Linked DNA regions of Saccharomyces cerevisiae S288C. Changing the gene in region 2 together with the main gene of any one other region gives a genetic interaction. Each region holds a gene or a part of one and is shown on either strand. Other genes may lie near its edges.

The links.
Region 1: mutations in DGR2 (region 2) and IAI11 together harm fitness more than expected from each alone (negative genetic interaction), as found in Saccharomyces cerevisiae (one large-scale study listed by BioGRID).
Region 3: mutations in DGR2 (region 2) and TLD1 together harm fitness more than expected from each alone (negative genetic interaction), as found in Saccharomyces cerevisiae (one large-scale study listed by BioGRID).
Region 4: mutations in DGR2 (region 2) and GGA1 together harm fitness more than expected from each alone (negative genetic interaction), as found in Saccharomyces cerevisiae (one large-scale study listed by BioGRID).

The regions. Positions count from the first base shown.
Region 1 is NC_001134.8:108,674-111,775, reverse strand, and holds IAI11 (Iai11p), read right to left. Parts: upstream 1,183-3,102; coding exon 897-1,182; intron 828-896; coding exon 532-827; downstream 1-531. Other genes in the region: protein phosphatase regulator SHP1, read right to left, coding at 1-339; CMC2 (Cmc2p), read left to right, coding at 1,237-1,270, 1,356-1,651; Arf family guanine nucleotide exchange factor YEL1, read right to left, coding at 1,781-3,102.
Region 2 is NC_001143.9:212,444-217,294, reverse strand, and holds DGR2 (Dgr2p), read right to left. Parts: upstream 3,154-4,851; coding exon 595-3,153; downstream 1-594. Other genes in the region: signal recognition particle subunit SRP21, read left to right, coding at 4,297-4,800.
Region 3 is NC_001136.10:1,010,439-1,013,553, reverse strand, and holds TLD1 (triglyceride-associated lipolysis regulator TLD1), read right to left. Parts: upstream 1,303-3,115; coding exon 595-1,302; downstream 1-594. Other genes in the region: PMP3 (Pmp3p), read left to right, coding at 1-78; YDR274C (uncharacterized protein), read left to right, coding at 1,594-1,965; DON1 (Don1p), read right to left, coding at 2,281-3,115.
Region 4 is NC_001136.10:1,188,287-1,192,232, forward strand, and holds GGA1 (ubiquitin-binding protein), read left to right. Parts: upstream 1-1,772; coding exon 1,773-3,446; downstream 3,447-3,946. Other genes in the region: SPC110 (Spc110p), read left to right, coding at 1-655; CNL1 (Cnl1p), read right to left, coding at 913-1,281; EAF1 (Eaf1p), read right to left, coding at 3,650-3,946. UniProt on the Saccharomyces cerevisiae protein: May play a role in the regulation of membrane traffic through the trans-Golgi network.

The DNA.
Region 1 (3,102 bases), on a different chromosome or scaffold from region 2:
CTTGGTTGGTTCAGGAGAGGTAGAACCTTTCCTTTTCAAGTACTCGTTGCTACCTTGTGAGGATCCTGGTTTTGGACATAACCCACCAACGTGCTCCGTATTTATGGCTTTATTCGAAGAGTTGGTGGAGAAGGCTTCTTGCTTGAGGGCCTTCTCCTGCTGTCTGTTCCAATGTGCTTCCTCTCTTCTATCCTTTTGGTCATCCGTTTGAGAAGCATAATAGGAATTTAGTGCTTCATTTAAATCTCCAAATTCAGAGAGATATTGAACGGCTATGTTATGCGACACATTGGTCAATGCCATGAACTGCTGGATGGTTTCATCAGGTATTTCCGCCATACCTAAATAATGAGTTAATTGTTGTGCTACCGACGTTTCTTATATATTTAAATCGAAATATGTTAAGCATACAACTATTAAACCCCTTCCGTTCTTTATTGCCATCGATTTTCGCCACCAATAAGAGTTCTAATGCGGGTAACACATATAAGTAGTGGAATATATTATTGAAACTACTACTATGGTATAACACTATTTACAAAGAGATGAATTGTGTGTCTTAACTAAGCTGTCCACTACTTGCTGGCTTCTTTTATCCAGAGGCATGTTTGTCACTACAAATTCGTTGTTGGCACGCCTTTCCAGACGTTGCTTTAGTTCCTGAAATGATGAAACATCCCAGCTCCAACATGTCCCTGTGATGCCCATACCAAATATACCTAGTGTCATGCCCGTTGCCGCTAAAAGAGAACCTGCAAGACTCTTTTGTGTGTGTGTTATTGTCTGCGTCCGGCTGGCGTAGTTTGCTTGAAAAGTGTTCAATGGCACTATGTAAATAAGTTATGTTAGTAAACGTGTTCTTTGAGTATGAGGCCGAAGTTATTGCCTATGCATACCTTTTGCAGTTATCATTTTCTTCATGGCAATTCTACATGTTATAAGTGTAAAAATAGTGATTCCGAAGAATCGTGTCATCTGAGTTTTCCTCCTCTTTTTATAGTCGTCTATAAAATGTGTGACTTCCTCACTACTGATTTTGGGCTTGTCGTTTCTGCTCACTAACATTATTGTTGGCCAGTCCTTTATTTCGAATTTTCTTCTTGTGTTTACATTATGTTTCAATTCGCATATTACATTAATAGAGAAAGACCTATTAAAAAATCGCTGCGCGTCCAATAACATTCACTGATTTACAAGTGCAGTTGAACAAAAGCAAGATAAGACAAGTACTACAACATGCATCCACAGTTAGAAGCTGAACGTTTTCATTGTAAGTATCCAGATTTTACTTCATATATTTGCCTTTTTCTGTGCTCCGACTTACTAACATTGTATTCTCCCCTTCTTCATTTTAGCCTGTTTGGACTTCATCAATGCACTCGATAAATGCCATCAAAAGGAATATTACAAGAGAATATTTGGCCTTTGTAACAACGAAAAGGATGCTTTGAACAAGTGTCTCAAGGAGGCAAGTTTGAATAACAAGAAACGTGCTGTCATTGAAAGTAGAATAAAGAGAGCTGATGTAGAAAAGAGATGGAAGAAAATTGAGGAAGAAGAATATGGCGAGGACGCTATATTAAAGACTATCTTAGATAGACAGTACGCCAAGAAAAAGCAGGAAAGTGACAATGATGCGAACTCGAAATAAAAGCTTTTTTTCTGTCGCTACTTCATTCACACAAATCATCTCAATATCCCTTGTAAATAAAAGGCAGAGTACAGTTTTCAAGTTTATATTTCTTCAGCGCAGTCTTTATATTTATATCTTTAAATATACTTAGAACTGAACAGAACCCATGGCTTTTTGCAAAGCTTTCAAGTAGCTCAGTCGTTTCTTATATTGATTATTCATATACAAATATCTCGAATTCCAATTATTCATGACTGCTTCAAAATAGTTATCGTCAAAGCTCCAAATTTCGACCAGCTTATCCTTTATTTCGTTATGTTTATCTATCCATATACCAAGCTGTCTGGTGAAGTTCATCAATTCCTTTAGCCTTTCTTTTAGTTCGACCATCTCTACATCTTTCGCATCTTCGTATAGTAGCTCTAGCCCCAATAGTGGCTTCCATTCACTTACAACAATATTTTTAAGATTGAGGGAAGCGTGCTCTGTCAAGATCTTGTCACTCCATCCATATTCTGCGTTAGATACGGCTTCGAATTGTGTTAAAGGAACTGGAGAAATCCTACCTGCCCAGAAGTTGATACAGTCCATAAACTTGTGGGCTTCTTCAACACTTCTCGTCTGGAACTCCAGAACAAGCTTTGGTCCGTTGATATTCTCTGGAAAACTAACGGTAAAGTTGCCACTTTTCCTCTTGGTGTTTTTGTTACACACATTTGATTTCATTGCTCCACTACCTATAATTATATTATCTTGCACGACATGTGCTTCAGCTTCAAGCAGTGAGTAAGCAAAATAAGAGCTACTGATATCTTTGAAATAGTCGATGGTAGCACTGTCTGTTTCACTTGATTGGATGATATCCTTAACATCTGGTTTAATTTTGAAAATAAAAATTCTGCCCTCCTTGACCTGTATTTTCACCCTCTCCCATTCAGAATCCTTATTCAAATACGATAAAGAAGTCCTTCTAGATGTGTGCTCAATAAGTGTAGTCGTTTTAGATGGTTTTAGCCATCCGAAGAACGATTTGTTTCTCTTAGAGGTCATTTTTGGTGCCGCCACTTGATCTTTGTCTCTTTTAGAATATTTACGTGGTAAAGATTTCTTGCTTATAAGAATTAAATCGTCCATGAACCAACTGGAGCCGTTTTCGGTAATTAAACCGTCATCAAAAGACTCTTTAAGGTAGAGTGCATCCATGGGGTGATTATTGTGAAAGTTTTTATTTGATTTTGCGCTCATTTCTCGTACAGATACTTGACCATCTCTTGAATATAGTGTAGTAGAATTAGAGTTAACACTACGTAAATTTGATGTACTAAATTCCCGTGATCCTAGAGTAGAGAACCTTTTCAAGGAAGATTGGTTATCTGATATATTTATTGATGTTCTAGATTCTGTGCATAACGGTAAAGGCGTTTCATTTAACGTTTTATAGTATTCGGAAAGTTCTTCGATGATCAAAT
Region 2 (4,851 bases):
TAGCAATCTAAGGAAAACTATTTCGGATGGAGTTCTGGAGTGGGGGCATTATGGAAGAAGAAAGTATATCTTAATGTTGCATATAATCACATAGTTTATATATATGCAGTATTTATCATTTGACGACTTAGTCACAGCTTGAAATTTCAGCGGTGCTTAATGTTCGTTTTCTTTTTTTTTTTTTTTTCCGCAACAGAAGGCCGATTCCGCTGTAACTTAATGAGGTATTAAATGCCAGATTCGTTTTCGTGACCTCCTTTAGCATATCGGCAGACCCTGACTCGCAACTGGAATAACACCACATGCGAACAAAAGCATATTTTTGCCCTACTTAATTTGAGAGTGGAAAATCTTTCCTCGATTTCATTTTTCTTATAGCCCAATTGACGTCTCTGTAGGCCCTAATAGACCCCATCGGCCTAAGACCGTTTCCGGCATCTTTCGGGTTGTAGATGGTTCTGTGAGAAAATGTGTCAGTAATGAAAAATAATAAAGATCGCTACAGATATAAATAATAATACTATGTTATTTGCAGACATGCTTATGATCTAAAGACGGTGGAACAGATAGTTTTTCCTCTTACTTTCTGATTCTCTATCTGAAATTATTGAGGATTGTACCACAATCAGCACACGTGAAACCGCTATCACCGCCAGCAATGGGGTTTTTGGAAGCACATTCAAAATTAGATCCATTGCAGACGTCACATTTCAACTTCGGATAAGTGGTAGAAACTCTCGGAATATCATGCGGTCCAAACACCGTGGAGCTCGTACTTTCACTTCTTGACTTTAGGGATATAAAACTTCCATTGGATTTATTAAAGATCGAATTCTTGAAAATAGCACTAGCTCTTGATGGCATGCCGGAAATCACCGGGCTATTATTAGGATGCAGCTCACAAAAATCGTGGCTTGGCCTACTATTGTGCGTGTTAGATGGTGGGGTTGTGCTAAACTCATTATCCTCTGTGGAACTTCTTTCATCCATTCTATTTTCCAATATGCTGTCATTGTTGTGGTTGTTGATTTTACCAGCAGCTTCGAGGTGGAATAAATTGTATTCATGGAACTTTTCTATTATTTTTTTTCGTATTTCCGGTAAGATATCAGTTCTGAAAACACGGATTAGACCTTGACTGTCTGTTGTTATTAGAATGGTTCCAACATTATTCACAACGTTCGATAGGTTTGAGCTGAATCCTCCTGTTTCTGTAACTGGGTGATTAGGTTTGTTATCACATGTTTCCTTAGATTCTGAATAATTTTGGCCCATTTCTTTGAAGTACTGTGAAGTCAGTTCGAAAATCAAATCGTTTGACAAGGACAAATTTTTAATTGCAACGTCGGGAGCAATGGAAGCACATGTGACAGGGGAGTTATGGGCATGAAATGATATATAATGATTGTTTTTGATAGCTTGAGAACCAACAGTTTGAGTTTGAAGAACATTTTTTGATGAGTTGGTAAATGTGTGTGAGCTGCTTTGGTTTGACGTTTCTGTCAAACATTCATCATTCGTACTCTTATTAGATACAATTCTCAACAGCCCTTTTAAACTCATACTGCCGCTCAGCCGTTTCTTTCTATGCGGAGCAGTGCAATTCATTTCTGCTGAAAGATTAAAGGACTGCATTTTCCAGGTATAAAACCAATGATCATCACTTCCCGTGAAAACTACAGGTTCATTTTTCATCATTAGGAATTGGCCTCTATGACGTGAGGAACCACTTTGGAATCCTTTAAAAAGCTCTAAAGGTTTTTTTTCATTTAAATCAAAGATTTGAATTTTTGAATCATTTGTCGTAACTATCAATCTTAAATTTTTGTCCACCTTAGAAAAGAAGCATTGTAAACCCGTGATTCGAGGGCCGTGTTGGACCTTTCCATATTCGGAAGATGGATGAAAGCTATTCTTAGTGGTTCCTTGAGTGCTTTTATCAGATACATGGAATGAAGATACAAATTTTAATCCATGTGTCAGTAAAACATAAATGTATCCATTGAATGTACCGATAATTGTATATTCCCCACCAGGAGGAGATAATGTTAGGGATGTTATCAAATCTTTGCAATCAAAGGCATAAGAAACCTCATTGTCCAGTATAGACCACAGTCTACACCTGTGATCTAAGCATCCGGTAATTATGAAACGATCATCATTGGGAAAAAATATTGCGGATGTAACAAAATCTGGGTGAACAAAAGTTTTCAATGAGTATTTCCTCTCAGGGTGCCATAGTTTTGCAGTTTTGTCCATTGATGCTGTTATTAGAAATCCATTTTTGGACCAGTTTGCATCCAAAATATCTAAAGCGTGCTCCATAAAAACCCTAAACACATCAGAATAGAAAACCGGTGCGTATAAATGTAATTGTTTGGAAGGTCCTTCAAACTGGTCGCTCGGCTTCAAATCATTACTTGATATGGAGCCGTTATGAGAACTAATGCTCGCCAAATGTCTTTGAATCTTTAGTGAGTTTGCTCTAGAGGCACTGACTGACTTTTCTGAGCGTCCCATTTCGGATCTCTTAACTGGTGAGTTTATGACTTTCCAAAGATGCAAAGAGCCATCTTTACAACCAATAACCATATACTTACCATCATGACTGAACGTACAGCAGCATATTGAATTCTTGAATAGCTCTGAATTAGCAACTGCAGGTTCTCCCTGGTAGGTTGTAGATTTGTAAACGTCGGGAATTTTCAACTCTTGAGCTAAGAACATTCTATCAAACTGTTCTAATCCTTCCTTTTTTTTAAATATTTTAATATATGTGGGTTCTTCGAGATAGTTTTCGAAATATTTCCTATCGAATAGGTCGAAATACCATCGGTCATTCTCACTGAGTTTATTGTACCCATTTGAAACCACTGAGTTTCTGTGAAGTGTTTTTCTCAGCCTCGTGCCGTAGTCTATATTATCAATGAACCTTAATTGAGCAGGAATTATATCGGCAGAGTAGCCTCCATCATATCTAGAAGAGCTTCTTTTTGAATCTGCAATAGAGGAATGTCGGCTCCTGTCGCCTGGTATGTTCAAATGTTTCGTTTGGCTCTTTTCTTTGGGATTTACAGGGGTTGCATTGCGATCACCCTCGTTGGAGTTCGGGGTTTCATCATAGCTTAAAGTGCTTGTTTTCGACTTGAACATTTCACAGGCTCCTACTGCACAAATAGTAATTCTACGTTGGTAAGGATTAAAACGGTACTGAGTAATAGTGCAATTGACGTCTTCGACGGCTAGCGCTTGTAAACTTTCCTTGTTTTTGTCGCACCGTTAAAATAAAGATCTTGTTCAAGTCAGCTCCTTCTTAGAATAGCGGAAGACGTTTACTAAAGTCAGTATATGCCTGTAAGTTGCCTGTTAGTTGTTTTCAAAATTTCTTCCTGCTTGACGCAAATACCCTTTTTATGAAAACTCTTTTACGCATTTTGAATTATTAGCGGTACATTAAAACGGACTTTTCATTCCGTATTGGCGGTTATGCTAAATAAAGAAAAGAAGGCACCTAAACAAACCCAAAAATGCTTTCACAGGAATCATCACACCAATATGGCGCATACTATCTGAGAGACTGTTTCAAAATAGTAAATAATTGAGAGTTTTTTTTGCGGCAATTACATCTTTTTAAATATTTAGTTATTGAATGATTAAATTAGAAGGATTGATCATAAACAACACAAGAGAAACAAAGAGTATGGGGGATAATTAGTACTTTCATTTCTTTACCTGTGTACGGCAAAAAATATAAAAGGGCACTTCCATCAGATACACCACTAGTGATAGACTGACGGTTTCCCCTACCTTTTACAAGTCACTTCCCGTACACCATTATCAACATTAAATGACGCCTGAACATTTATTATTTGCAAACATCATGCTTTGATCTTTGAATACTTGATAATCATGCTTTGATAGATGTGGAAGCAATTCGGTAGAAAAGTTTCCTCACCCCAGTATTTTCTCAGTGCAAAGAGTTTGTCATTACCACACTAGCTAATGAAAGCCTCAATTCGTCCAGCTGAAAAAGATACGTCTGCATACTAGTAAATGGAACCGGATGAGCACAAATACAGATTATTAATGTCAATAACAATGACAATAGTTCCGCTATTTGCGTCACTTTTTACTTATGGCAGAAGGCAGGGTAAGCCGCACCACTCTTGAAAAGTTAAGAACTGACTATTTTCGCGAGAACAATGCTAAAAGTTTCAATTGTGCTGTCTTCGATTGACCCAAATAAAAGAGCTTCCCTCCGCGAGCAAATTAACAGACCTAATTGAACTGGAAAACATGTCTGTGAAACCCATTGACAACTACATCACGAACAGTGTTCGCCTTTTTGAGGTGAATCCATCTCAAACGCTCTTCTCCATATCGTATAAACCACCAACACAGAAGACAGACACCAAAGTGTCCTTTAGAACTCATAACTCGCATTTATCCTTGAACTATAAATTTACTACTAATAAGAGTAAAGATGTTTCAAGATTACTTAGTGCATTAGGCCCACGAGGCGTATCTATAACTCCAGGTAAAATTGAAAAAATAGCACAGTCGAAGAAGAAAAATAACAAAATAAAAGAATCGAGTAAAAAAATAAAAGGTAAGAGCATCCAAGACATTGTTGGTTTAGCCACCTTAATTGTCAACACAGATGTCGAAAAGAGCGATCCTGCGGCTAAGAAAACTGCTACAGAACCGAAGCAAAAAGCTAATGCTGTGCAAAATAACAATGGTAACTCTGCAGCTTCAAAAAAGAAAAAAAATAAAAACAAGGGCAAAAAAAAGCGTTAAATATTTCATGTATACTAGGAGATTGAATATGAAATAAAATACTATATATAT
Region 3 (3,115 bases), on a different chromosome or scaffold from region 2:
ATAGTGGATATCATTTTGACCATTTTGGCTTGGTTCCCAGGTATGCTATATGCCTTGTACATTGTCCTACAAGATTAAGCTCATTCAATAAACGAAAGTAACTATCAAATGAAATAAGGAAGCAGTATTAGGAAACGGTATCAACATGTTCGGGTCACCCTCATTTTTATTTGTTTCCTTTCTTTTTTTTTGTTTCTCTTTCTCTTAAGGTTTCCTCCCCCGCTGTTAATTTTAACTACGTGTGTATTTTTTAATAATTAATTTTATCACAAAAAAAACTTCTCATCTTTTTTGCCTTTTATCATTTTTGTACTTTTTTCTTCGCTTAAAATACACATGATATAGACGCTTAACTATCTGTCCTGCAAGTTTGTTTATCTATATAAATATAGCCAGTATCATCCGTTTACCTGTGTTGTAGAGTTCCAAAAGATAGAACAGCCTTTTATCAGATGGGTGGCAGACCCTTACCCATATTATCTCTCTTATTTTGTTTTTATTTCTCTCTAGCCTTATAATTATTTTTAGTTTCCTTTCTGTAGCAATAAGTGTTCTTAGCAGTGGCGTTGCGTTGCCTTGACCTTGATTATCAATTTAAGCAGCTTTCTGCTCACAAGCCACTTCAAAACGACTCGTGAATGATTTTTCGATCAATGATATCTTATCATAATTCGGATTTGATAGGAAATCATCATCCTCTTCCTCGTAGTAGGCGTCTTCCCTCCTTTCATTAACAAGTTTATTCTGCTTCACAAATGTAACTGTACTAGTTGAATTCAAACGCCTACTTTTGTTAACACTACCTGAACTAATATCATATTCCAGACCAGCTGTAGTATGATTGATCAATGATTCTGAGGATTCATTTAGCATATTAATTATCTCCTCATCAATAACTATTTCCTCCTTTCCGCTTATGGGACCACTGGTCTTTTCTTTTCCATCTGCCACCGGTAATGATGATCTATTGTAGTGGAATAACTTGCAACCGTAATCAAGCAACCTGCACATGTAGAGGAATAGATCGATCGCGTCCAGTATGATAATAGGCAACAGCAATACGATGACACCCAAAGAGCACATCAACTGGAAAATGCCAAACATTAACATCAGTCCTGATCTTATTTCGGATAATATCCCGCAGTGCCACGTCAAAGATAGTACCTTATCAAAGGCGTGGTTGATAATAACAAGTGCTAATCGGCTATTTGACATGATCTCTTCCTTTCCTGATGAGTTCTTGGTATCGTGATCGATCACAGTTGAACCTATAAGTTTTCTAAGCTTCGGGAAAAAAAACATTGTAACTAAAGGCAATAATGGATGCAGATGCCTGGCAAGGAAGGAAGAAAAAAAGACAATAGAATGCCGTTGGTATATATTCTCCGGCTGCCCCGTCAAAGGACTTCTAAAAACTAATATCAAGAAAATCAAAAAAAAAAATCAAAAAAAAAAATAAAGGAAAAAAAAAGATCTCTATCTTTATGTCGGTAGATATGACACTCCCTTCACGTTTATCATCTCTTGAACCTTTTCTAGTTCATCTACACCGTTCCTATTATCTTTCTTTTGCCCCCTTCTCTTCCCTCGTACATGTTTTCTTGCCTTTTACATTCCTCACGCCCTACTGACAGCTATTGCACTTTGGCGGCACCACTCAGCCAGACTGCCCGTACCCGTACGATGACCTTCCATGCAGCCACGGCGAAACGCAAGACCGAGCATTCGGGAATCAAGGAATCTAACTTGCATTTGTCCCGGGTCCTACTAAGCTCTTTCTGCCGTGCAAAAGGACGTTTCGTTTCGTTTTTCATATGCTATCCATTTCCTTTTGGGCTAACTAGGTTTCCGCGGGTTTTGTGGTCAATAGGACTCGACAAATCATTATTTACGCGCGTGCATTTTTCGCCATCATTCTTTTCCCTTCTTGCACCACTACAATTTTCCGGGATTGTACGATCGTAGGAAACTACTTACCGTCAGCGTTGCTCAAAAAGGCCCACATTATTTTCTTCCGTTAGTCCTGTTTTTATATTGTCCTGAAGTTTCCCGGCGCTAACTTCCTGGCTTTCCATTGAGTTTGAATTGTTGAGTAAAAACTAGTGTGCCATTGCTAGATGAACGTCATTTCCGCCCACACATCGACTGATGAATGACTCCATTTTGAGAACTAGATATACAACAAAGGCAAATAAGCGCAGAAGAAGCAATGGTGGTGTCTGTTCATTGCGAGCCCAAACGCACTTTGCCGAAAGAGTTAATAAACATTACCGCTATACACTACGTAAAACTTAATTCTTGTCTAGATGGATGAACCTGCTTTTTTTCATCTTTAGCGTCAGCTGCAAATAGACCACAACTATCAGTGCCAAAGGCAGATTTGTATCCACCGTCGTCCTTGGCAGGTAACCTATCTGCACTGTCACGCTGAGCCTCCGGCACTTCAGTATTACCGCCCTGGTTCTTCCTTTCTTGATTCGACGTATTGGTTTCGACATCTTGCTCTTCTTCTTCCTCGCTTTCGTCGCAGTTTAAAACGTCAAATAAATTGTTTGAAGGCTCATTTCTCTTCACAGTGACGGGAATGCGATTATTCTTCAATGACTTCGCAACAACTTTCACAGCGGCGCCTTTTAAGCTGTTAACTCCCTTTTCTTCTCCCTTCTCCTTTTCCTCCTCTTTTCCCTTCTCTTTTCCCTTGAGTATACTATCTTCGTTTGATAAAATTGTATTATGGCCCTCTGCAACAGCCACGTTCCTAGTCGATTCGGCGACTTCTCTATTCGATCCGGGGGTGCTAATGTTGCCAATGTGTTCGGCCAAAGAACTTAGTTCTGATTCAATTTTTGAAATTACCATGGAGCCATTTATTCCTTGACCAGAAAATTCGTCTTCAATATCATCGAATATTTCACGTTGCAAAATCTCAGACACATTTATTTTACTATAGTCTTCCACACTTATCGGCTTCATTGGTAATGCAAAGTCAGTGTTTTCCTCCGGACTTGAGTAGTAGAGTAAAGAATTGAATGCCGGCTCCAAAACCCCTTGGGAGGCAATTAAAATGGCTTTAATTAATGTATCATCTACTTCTGGAAATGCTATCTTCAATTCT
Region 4 (3,946 bases), on a different chromosome or scaffold from region 2:
AAAATATAAACGCGAACTACAGAAGGTGATTACTGCTAATGATCGTTTGAGAAGAGAGAAAGAGGAGTTGAATGAAAACAGCAATAATATTCGTATCATGGAAGACAAGATGACTAGGATAAAAAAAAATTATTTGAGTGAAATCACTTCTTTACAAGAGGAAAATAGGAGACTTGAAGAACGCCTCATATTAAATGAGAGGCGTAAAGACAATGATTCAACTATGCAATTAAATGACATCATAAGCTATTATAAATTGAAGTATCACTCAGAAGTAAGACACAACAACGATCTTAAGGTGATCAATGATTATTTAAACAAGGTTCTTGCTTTGGGGACCCGTCGTTTAAGATTGGACACAAGGAAAGGTGAGCACAGTCTAAACATTTCACTTCCAGACGATGATGAACTAGATCGTGATTACTACAATAGCCATGTTTATACAAGGTATCATGACTATGAATACCCGCTTAGATTCAATTTAAACAGAAGAGGTCCCTATTTCGAACGCCGCTTAAGCTTCAAAACAGTTGCCCTTTTAGTGCTTGCTTGTGTGAGGATGAAAAGGATTGCTTTTTACAGGAGATCAGACGATAACAGATTGCGAATACTAAGAGATAGAATTGAGAGTAGCAGCGGGCGTATATCTTGGTAGTATCGCTTACTCTATCATCATATTTCTCGTATGTACATCGACTCCTACGCAGACTGATCTTCAAGCGAGCCACCGTGAATGTGGAAGCATAAACAGATGAGAAACCTTTTTGTTTCTGAGATCGTGACCTTAGATTGTAGTGTGCTAATCTCCCTAGTATTGACTACTTTGCGTTTATTCATTTCTTTCTCCAATAGAAATACAGCATAAAACATACGTAGGGTATATCTATGTATGTGGTATATTTGTATTATAAGTTACTTAGATTTACTGGCGCCCTTTTTTAAGCTATTGTAATTATTTACGGCCTCTGCGATTCTTTCCTTGAAAGTATCTGTTATTATCGCCAGTTGGTTTAACATTTCATAGTGATTTTCCAACGTATCGCATTTTTCAAGGAGTTCTTTGAACTTCGCAATATTTTTATCTATGGTGTTTTCAATAATACCATTCACCATCACTTCATTTTGTTTTTTACATAGCTCCGTAGTATCCAATTGTATACTCTGTACATAGTCTCTCATTTTATAAAGTAAGTAATCGTAGTCGACTGTCAATTTATCAATTCCAAGAGGATCGTCACCAGCCGAAGCCGACTCTCTGGAATGACTTGAGTTGTCTTGCATTCTAAATAAGGCCAACTAACCTAGTTGAATATACTGCTAATGAATGCTAAAATACACAAATTTCATGTAAAAAAACCCCGCGAATTTTGTGTTATGGTTAAAAAATAACTGTAACTGAAATTACCCAAATTGGAGAAAACTTGTTAAGTCCTTATTTTAGCTACTGTGGATGGCTCCCTCTGTGGAAATAGCAGCAATTTTGGCCATTTACCATGTTCTAGAAAACGGCTAAAAAACAAATAATGACCCCGAATATTTTAAATCGCAAAACCTAAAATAACCTGCTATTTAACTCAATAACCTATGACAGATTAGCAAAAAGCCCTAAAATTTATAACTTAAAACCTAATGGTATTTTTAAAGGGGTGAATATTGCGCATAACCATTTCAAGTTAAAAACCCTTATATCATTATATAAAAAATATCTTAATAAAGAAGCAATTTGGGACAAGTCACTACTTCAAGTATAACCCAGACAAGAGTCTTTTAAAATGCCACAAAGAATTGAGCTTACCTCCGAACCAGTCAGAAAACCGCGGTCTACTGAGAGCTCACTACTCAGAAAGATACAAAGAGCGTGTAGATCCACATTGCCTGAACCAGATTTGGGCTTGAACTTAGATGTAGCTGACTATATCAACTCAAAGCAAGGAGCAACCCCTAGAGAGGCTGTGTTAGCAATTGAAAAATTGGTCAATAATGGGGACACGCAAGCAGCTGTTTTTGCACTTTCACTACTAGACGTGCTGGTAAAAAATTGTGGTTACTCTATACATTTGCAAATCTCCAGGAAGGAATTCTTAAATGATCTAGTGAAAAGATTTCCAGAGCAACCACCATTGAGATATTCCAAGGTGCAACAAATGATTCTTGAAGCCATCGAGGAATGGTACCAAACCATCTGCAAACATGCCAGCTACAAAGATGATCTTCAATATATCAACGACATGCATAAATTACTGAAATACAAGGGTTATACTTTCCCAAAAGTTGGGAGTGAAAACTTGGCGGTGTTGAGACCGAATGACCAACTGAGGACACCTAGTGAGCTACAGGAAGAACAGGAAAGAGCTCAAGCTGCAAAACTAGAAGAGCTGCTAAGAAGCGGCAAGCCCGATGATTTGAAAGAAGCTAATAAACTGATGAAAATTATGGCGGGATTTAAGGATGACACTAAAGTAGCAGTCAAACAAGCAATTAACAATGAACTAAATAAACTCAAAAGAAAAGCTGATTTATTCAACGAAATGTTGACTTCAGCCGATGAGCCTGATCTTGAAAATGAAGCTATTCAAGAATTGTATGGCGACTTAAAATCAGCGCAGCCGAAATTCAAAAAGCTTATTGAGGAAGAACGCGATGACGATGCGCTTGTTAGTAATCTATCAAAATTTAACGATCTAGTGATCCAATTGTTAAAAAGGTACAAGTCAATAAAAGGTATGAAGGAAGAAGAACTAAATGTCCCCGATACGAATGAACCGGCAAAAGAGCTTAATTTGATAGATTTTGATGACGATACAACAGCAAACACTCCATCTGTGACATCTCCAAGCAAATCTTTGCAACCTTTTGACGATCTTTTAGGGGATTTTAATAAGGTAAGTTTATCATCCCCAAAGTCTCCTCAAGAAAACGACACTGTTGTTGATATACTTGGTGACGCTCACTCAAAGTCATCTGGTATAGATTTATTAGATTTTGATTCGCAACCTGGAGAAAGTAAAACCGCTCTGTCCGCATATTCTAACTCGATTGTTCTACCTAATGGTTTACTAAATAGTTCAAGTAACTCCAAGGAAATCACAGCTCAATCGCAAAGACATATACTTAACCAATCGGATCACTTACGCATTGATTACGAATTAACTCGTGAGTCGATGACAAAACTACGATTAGTTATCTTCTATTCAAACATAAGCAGTGATCCAATAACTAATTTTGCACTTTTAGTGGCATCACCTAAAGGCACGACATTGTCTCTGCAACCGCAATCGGGCAATATGCTCCAAAGTAACTCCAGAGATGGTATCAAACAGATTGCTTCCGTAGAGGGTATATCTGTTAATTTAGGTAAGCCCATAAAATTGAAATGGAAGGCTAATTACTGCACCAAGGGTGATTCGAAGGAAGAATCGGGCACGACCAGTTTGCCCACAATATAATCAAATTCGGTAGAGAAGTTGAAAAAAAAGTAGATGCCATATTATATTACAGAGAACAGAGTGTTACGCCAACATACTAAACCAGAGAAGTAAAACGTTTTACTTATATATAATAGTATTCGTAAATTTATAAAAATCAAAAAACCAATATAAGCCTGGTTAAAAAAAAAAAAAGATCAGTATCGTAAAGTCGTAAAGTTAGGTCATTGTTTTTGGAACCTTTGTAAAATCTCCTGTGGAGTTGGTGACTTTATCCTTGGAGCAGAATTAATGTTAGAAATATTGGAAAGAGAAGATTGAGATGGAGATGATTTCGGTGGCGGAGCTTGAGACCCTGGTTGTAGTTGCTGCAGTTGCTGCACATGACTGGACTCCTCCTGTAACTGCTGCCTTTGCTGTTGAATCTGGTGCTGCTTTAGCTGTTGCTGTTGTTCTCTCAAGGTTCTATAATAGTTTTTTGCCGCCTTAAGGGCCATCTCAGGACCAATGTCTGGTTTTTG